2 linked regions of the Macaca fascicularis genome follow. The protein of the gene in region 1 binds, or shares a complex with, the protein of each later gene. Links are inferred from orthologs where the notes say so. Each region holds a gene or a part of one and is shown in the gene's direction. Other genes may lie near its edges.

The links. The genes of interacting proteins can lie anywhere in the genome.
Region 2: the proteins of GHRHR (region 1) and GHRH are in contact, whole or in part, in a cryo-EM structure (PDB 7CZ5), measured with the Homo sapiens proteins. The link is inferred for Macaca fascicularis from reciprocal best matches to the Homo sapiens genes GHRHR and GHRH. Residues at the interface, in NP_000814.2 of Homo sapiens: Leu119, Ala120, Glu122, Glu123, Phe126, Ser127, Val129, Lys130, Tyr133, Val179, Lys182, Leu186, Phe187, Asp190, Thr192, Asp193, His194, Cys195, Phe197, His210, Thr213, Phe217, Ala271, Cys272, Asp274, Leu275, Asp276, Trp282, Ile285, Ile289; in NP_066567.1 of Homo sapiens: Tyr32, Ala33, Asp34, Ala35, Ile36, Phe37, Thr38, Asn39, Ser40, Tyr41, Arg42, Val44, Leu45, Gly46, Gln47, Leu48, Ser49, Ala50, Leu53.

Annotation. Positions count from the first base shown.
Region 1 is NC_088377.1:99,322,602-99,326,253, reverse strand, and holds part of GHRHR (growth hormone-releasing hormone receptor), read left to right. Parts: intron 1-1,043; coding exon 1,044-1,146; intron 1,147-1,272; coding exon 1,273-1,380; intron 1,381-1,936; exon of another isoform or gene 1,937-2,010; coding exon of another isoform or gene 2,011-2,086; coding exon 2,087-2,184; intron 2,185-3,045; coding exon of another isoform or gene 3,046-3,141; intron 3,142-3,337; coding exon 3,338-3,435; intron 3,436-3,652.
Region 2 is NC_088384.1:93,361,306-93,364,957, reverse strand, and holds part of GHRH (somatoliberin), read left to right. Parts: intron 1-1,110; coding exon 1,111-1,230; intron 1,231-3,652. UniProt on the Homo sapiens protein: GRF is released by the hypothalamus and acts on the adenohypophyse to stimulate the secretion of growth hormone.

The DNA of each region.
Region 1 (3,652 bases):
AATTACAGGCATGAGCCACTGCGCCCGGCCCCTGTCCTGCTTCTGATCACAGCTTGCACAGGGTCTATTAGGATCCAGCCCTTCTCCCTTCCCCAGCCACTCCTCTCCTGTGGAAGCCTCGGGGAACAGACGTCTACACTGGTTGACTCGGATGTGTGTTTTATATAAAAATGTGTATGCTGTATACCCAGTTCACAGTGCAGAAAGTCTGTTTTGTAAACTTGGCTTCCCTTCTATGTAACTGTTTGGGCTCTGGCCTACTGGGTGAGCAGTTTTGGTTTTCCTCCAGTTTGGGGCGGTGGGAGGGAGAAGTGCTAGAAATTGCTGCTGTTCATTCCCAGTTCCCTGGAGAACTTGTTAAAATGCAAAGTGCTAGATCCACCCTAGATCTCTGCATATCCCTGCTTCCATCCCAGTGGATCTCTAGTTGATTCTTGATAAACACTTTCAGAAGCACTGCTAGAAGATTTCCAAAAAAACCCCAACTTGTTTCCAGCTTCCAGAGATCATTTCTCATGGCCACTGTGTAGCACGAGATCTGGGAAGCTCCTAAAACTATAGTCTTTCAGGGTTGCTCAGCTGTCAAGGCTATGATCCTTTCATCTACACATCCATGGACCCACACATCCATCCTTACACAGCTCTCTCACTCATCCACCACGCACCCATCCATGCAGCCAGTCATCTGTCCGTCCATCCATCCGTCCATCCATCCATCCACCTCCCCAGCCATATATTTGTCTGTCTGTCTGTATACTCATCCATTCCACCAGCCAGCTGCCTAGGCAGTCACACCTACCTTCCTTTCTTCCTTCCTTCCTTTCTTCCTTCCTTCCTTCCTTCCTTCCTTCCTTCCTTCCTTCCTTCCTTCCTTGTATCTGAACATCCACCAAACACACCTGAAAGTACTGCGAGCAGGTCTTTGCTCAGGATTAGGGCACAGAAATGAATAAGGACTCGTCCCTGTTCTCAGGTCATGTGGACCACAGAGCCCAGAAAGGCACTCAATTGGCTTGGCTCATCCTGTTCACTGTTTCCAGCAGGTATTGGGCCACATGCACCCAGAATGTGACTTCATCACCCAGCTGAGAGAGGATGAGAGTGCCTGTCTACAAGCAGCAGAGGAGATGCCCAACGCCACCCTGGGTATGGGGCCTAGGAGGCAGGTGGCGGCTCCTCTGATTCCTTTGTGTCCTCTGGCATCACCCCTCAGATTACTGGGGCAGCCCTGTGGCTGGGCTGAGTCTCTGCTGCTCCCGGCTCTCTATCCAGGCTGCCCCAGGACCTGGGATGGGCTGCTGTGCTGGCCGACGGCAGGATCCGGCGAGTGGGTCACCCTCCCCTGCCCTGATTTCTTCTCTCACTTCAGCTCAGAGTCAGGTGAGGGGTCCTGGGTATGGCAGTGGGAAAGGGAGGTGCTTTCGTCTGGAAGTGGCAGAATCTGGCAGACACGTCGCTGGCTTTGGGGGCAGGCCGACCTGGGTTTGTATACCAACTTCCCCTCTTCTGGGGTGACCTCGGGCCCGTCAGTCAATCCTGACCTCTGCTTCCTGAGCTATGAACTGGGGAGAACGAAAGCAGTAACTGCGCAAGAAAGGATTAGAGTGCGGAACCTGTAAGTGCTGGACCTGGGTGCCCTCCAGTGTTAGCAGGAGGCTGGCTGCAAGGGTGGAGGAGGGCAGGCCTGCCTGTCTGCCAAGACACCACTAACTGCCCAGGATGGAGAGGGTGGGGCACCCGGCTGCTCTGCTTTACCTCCCTGGCCTGGGTGCCTGGACTGCGAGGGCCTCTTTTCTCCCCTGCTGCCTTTAGGAGGCTGGCAGCCCAGCTCACCACTCCCCACCCCTCAGGGGAGTAATCCTCTCTGTGCAGAGATGGTGCCCTGGAAGCCAGAGATGGAAGGCCCCATAGTGTGTCCCTGGGTAGGCTACACCTGGGCTCCAGGCCTCTGGAGTTGCCCTCTCTGTTGCTGAGAGGAACTGTCCATGCAAACCCTGCCAGGGTCACTTGATGGTCCATGGCACCCCCAGCCCCCTCCTGGGGAGAGGGAAGGGGTTGTGGCTAGAGAGTCTTGCTTGCCTCCCAGGGGCTGTGAAGCGGGATTGTACCATCACTGGCTGGTCTGAGCCCTTTCCACCTTACCCTGTGGCCTGCCCTGTGCCTCTGGAGCTGCTGGCTGAGGAGGTAAGAGGCTCCCGGCATCTTGGAGGAAGGACTGCCATGGACATTCGTATGGGTGGGTGCACAACGTCGGGGCCTCCATTCCCCAGCCTGCAGGTTGGAATATTCCTTACAGCGGTTTTCCAGCAGACAGCAGTGAAGCGTCTGGAGGAGAGGGGGTCTTCTGCTAAGTTACTCAAGGGTGACCCACGGGCCAAGTTACTTGGAGGGAGAAGCGGGGCAGAGGGCATGTGGGAGATCTGCTGCCTGCTGTCTTGGTTCCGTGTCCAGGTCTCCAGGGCAGGGAGCTTAAAGTGGTTCCAGAGGCAACAAGGATCCTGGCAGCCCTGGGAAGTTCCTTTTCTTCTCTGACCCTCAGTCTGTGGAGCAGTGTGCATGGTTGTGGTGTGGGCAAATGAGGGAAACTCAAGCCCAGAGTGATTGCAGAGAGCTCCTAATACCAGCGAGCACACCCACACTTCTGCATCCAGCAGGGCCTTTGCAAGGCACTCCCACACCCACCATCCTGTTTCTCTGTCCCCTTGATCTCTGAAAGGTAAAGCATGACTATAAGCATTTTTCAGATGGAAAGACTGAGTCAGGGACAGGCAGTGATTGCCTGGACCCCACAGGAGAGCTGGGATTGGGGCCAGTGCCCGGGCCCCTGCTCCCTTCCCTTGCCTGCACCCTCTATCTTCAGGGCCCGGCCGCACTCTGACTGATACAAACACTTGGCCATGGGAACCTTTAGCTTGCCTGCCTGTGGCTGTCCCCAGGTGTCCCTGGCTGTCTCCTTTATTTGGGGACGTTGTGTTCTTAAGCTGGTGAGCAAGCTGGATGTCAATAAACAAGCTGATTTCCTCTGGTGCTTTTGTCATTCCCCAGGGACCTGTAGTTTCTGTGGCTGCCTCTCCCCACCCCCAGAGCATCATGAGTGTTAAGCGTCTCCACTCCTCGCCACTGCTCCTCCCTCACCCGCAGGTCAGGTGGAAGGCAGGCTGGAAATGAAAGCCCTAGTGCATAGGGGGAGCTTTCCATGGTACCTGCGGACACCTCTGTCTCCAGATGGGCAATGTTGGGGTGGAATGGCAAAGGCTTCACCTGCTTGATTGCCAAGCCTCTCTTTCCCCCAAAAGGCCCTGAAGTTGAGAATTTCTTCCGTCTCTGCCCTTCCCAGGAATCTTACTTCTCCACAGTGAAGATTATCTACACCATGGGCCATAGCATCTCTATTGTAGCCCTCTTCGTGGCCATCACCATCCTGGTTGCTCTCAGGTTTGCCATCCTCATCACCAGCTCAAGAACCTTCCTTGGCTCCCTATTTCTCAGAGGGCCAAGTCTGCTTCCTTGCCTGCATAGCCATGAACTTCCCAGATCTAGGCACCATACCCATGTCTAACTTTCCCTTCCCTTTTCCCCACCATGTAGACCCATCTCTTCCAACACCAGAACTCACTCCTATCTCTGCCCCTTTGCTTATGTGGCACTCATT
Region 2 (3,652 bases), on another chromosome or scaffold:
TGATCTGCCCGCCTCAGCCTCCCAACGTGCTGGGATTACAGGCATGAGCCACTGTGTCTGGGCCCAGGGTTAATAGCTCTTAAAGGACACACAAAGAGTGGCAGAGTTTGGAGCAAAACTGCCTGACTCTATAGCCTGTATGTTTTTTAGTTTTTACTTTGAAAAAATCTCAAACTTACAAAAAAGTTGCAACAAAAGCACAATGGACTTCCATATACCCTTCCAATTCCTAACATTTTATCACATTTGCTTACTCTATATCTATAGCTAGATATAGATACATACCACAGAAACACATATGCACATTAAGTGTTGTTATCATTTTTGCTGAACCATTTGAGAGTAAATTGCAGTCATCATGACCCTCTACCTTTAGGTACTTCTGTATGTGTCTCCTAATACCTAACCAAAGGACATTTCCTTACATAATCATAATATAATTGTCAGTTATAATCCATTTTCAAATTTTACCAGTTGTCCCAAAATGTCCTTTATGACAATTATTTCTTTTTCTGATCTGGGACCCAATCTGGGATCATGGATACCATTTAGTTGTCATGTCTCTTCAGTTTCTTTTAATCTGGAATTGTTCCTCGGTCTTTCATGACATTGACAGTTTTGATTACTAAAGGCTAATGATTTATAGAATGTCTCTCATGTTGAATTTGCCAGACATATCCCCATGATTAGAGGATGCATTCCTCTAATGATGATTAGAGGAATCAGGTGATGCACTCACAGAAGTAATGTTGTGTCCTTCTCAGTGCCTGGTATCAGGAGGCACAGGATGGCAACTTGTGCCATTATTGGTGGATTATTGGTAGATGGTAACTTCGATCAGTTGGTTAACATGGTGTCTGCCAGGTTTCTCCTCTATAAAGTTATTTTTCCCTCTATAATTAATAATCTGTGGGGAGACGTTTTGCAACTGTATACATTTGTACTACTGTACTCTTCACTACTATATATACTGCCTCCCTAAGTGTGGCTGAATCTAATTCAGTTGGGTAGAAGAGTCCACACCAGATATTGAAATAGGCGTAGGGATATACCTCTGCCTCTCCACATCCTACCCAAATAGCAACTAGTTCTCTTTTTCTAACCACACAGAGAGAGAAACCAAGAGCGAGGAGCAAGGGCACGGCTTGGCCGTCAGGTGGACAGCGTGTGGGCAGAACAAAAGCAAATGGAATTGGAGAGCATCCTGGTGGCCCTGCTGCAGAAGCACAGGTATGGGTGTGTGTGCATGTGTGCTTCTAGGGACTTCAGGGCTTCCTACTCCATGGTTTGCTGGGAAAAGGAAAAAATCCACTCCTCTCTGAAGGTATGGGGCTCTGCCAAACAAACCAAGAACAAGGACCCTCCTGACAGACATTAAGAACTAGGAGAATGGCTGGGCATGGTGGCTCATGCCTGTAATCCCAGCACTTTGTGAGGCTGAGGTGGGTGGATCATCTGAGGTCAGGAGATCGACACCAACCTGGCCAACATGGCGAAACCCTGTCTTTACTAAAAATACAAAAATTAGCCAGGCGTAGTGGCTCACGCCTGTAATCCCAGCCACTTGGGAGGCTGAGGCAGGAGAATCGCTTGAAGCTGGGAGGCGGAGGTGTCAGTGAGCTGAGATGGCGCCATTGCACTCCAGCCTGGGCAACAGAGTAAGACTCTGTCTAAAAAAAAAAAAAAAAGGCCGGGCGCGGTGGCTCAAGCCTGTAATCCCAGCACTTTGGGAGGCCGAGACGGGCGGATCACGAGGTCAGGAGATCGAGACCATGCTGGCTAACACGGTGAAACCCCGTCTCTACTAAAAAATACAAAAAACTAGCCGGGCGAGGTGGCGGGCGCCTGTAGTCCCAGCTTCTCAGGAGGCTGAGGCAGGAGAATGGCGTGAACCCGGGAGGCGGAGCTTGCAGTGAGCTGAGATCCGGCCACTGCACTCCAGCCTGGGCGACAGAGCGAGACTCCGTCTCAAAAAAAAAAAAAAAAAAAAAAAAAGAACTAGGAAAGTGCCTGGGTGCGGTGGCTCATGCCTGTAATCCCAGCACTTTGGGAGGCTGATGGGGAAGAACCACTTGAGGCCAGGAGTTTGAGACCAGCTTGCCCAATATAGTGAGATCTCGTCTCAATCAATCAATCAATACTAGGAGAGTTCTTTAGACATGACGGGTGGGAAGTGTCTGATGGAGACCGCATCTTATCCACGGCTGTATCCCAGTGCGGAGCCAGAGGCCAGGCTCAGTGTCCATGCCCAAAAATGTTACTCACTGAATGGTTCCGGGATACGACCCAGAAATCTGAATTTTAACAGGTGTCCCCAAGGATTTGGCTGCAGGTGAACTGACAGGCATGCTCTGGATCCCTTGCCAAGTTCAAAAAACTATAAAGCCAAAGACAGACCAGCCCTCCCACACACTGTGGTAGATGAGTGTGCACAGACACACGATCAGCAGACGAGAGACGTGATGACTGTCATTCTCCAGCTCACTGGCCCTCATGTTTCTCCTGGGAGTCAGGGGAGATCGGAAATGAGTTACCTCATTTTACAGAGGAGGAAAAGTGAGGCAAAGAGGGGGTGGCAGCTGGCCCCAAATCAGGGACTGGCAGGCCCAAGACCTGTTCTTTGCACAAAGCCCCACTTCATGGGCAAAGTTTCCCAAAAATGTCTTGGCTGTTTGGAGAAACTCTGCTGGGGTTTAGAACCTGATTTTTTGTTGTTGTTGTTGTTGTTGGGATGCAGTTTCACTCTCATCACCCGGGCTGGAGTGCAGTAGCGTGATCTCAACTCACTACAACCTCCGCCTCCAGGGTTCAAGTGATTCTCAGCCTCCCGAGTAGCTGGGATTAGGTGCCTGCCACCATGCCCAGTTGATTTTTGTACTTTTAGTAGTGAACTCCTGACCTCAGGTGATCCGCCCTCCTCAGCCTCCCTAAGTGCTGGGATTACAGGCACCCGCCACCACACCCGGCTAACTTTTTGTACTTTTAGTAGAGATGGGGTTTCATCATGCTGGCCAGGCTGGTCTCGAACTCCTGACCTCAGGTGATCCACCTGCCTTGGCCTCCCAAAGTGCTGGGATTACAGGTGTGAGCCACCACAGCCGGCCTAGAGCCTGATTGAACTGCGAGCACAAGCAGGTCCCAGTGTGGCTCTGCTGGGCACTTCTGGTCCAATCTATTAAGCAAATCCAGTTCCCAGCAGAGCTCTCCGTGGCCTCTCTCCCCTTCTTCCCAACCCGATTAGACACCACCAGCCCAGAGATTTCACCATCTACAAGCAGCACCAGGCCTACGGCAGATGACAGGAGGGGCGACAACCAGGCTGGGAGGCGGGAAGAACGCCTGGACCCCAGGCCTGGTTCCGCAACTAGTGGCACAGCAACACGCTTCTTAGTTTCGACTCTGTGAAAGGAGGGGTTAGCTCTTACCATCTCTAGGGTCCGCAAGACTAGAGTTCAAAAATAATGTCTCTAAGAAGAATGCCTCCTCTGTGCCTCGCAGGCTGGGATTAGGTAATTGTTCACCTGCTATGGCTCTCATCAGGCCCCGGTAGGGTGGATGGCTCCAGGGAGGGCTAATCCTAAGAATGCAGGCTTTGTTCCTGCCAGTTAAAAGCCAGAGGCTTCACAGAGATTGAAGTCATAGAGCCCGCAGA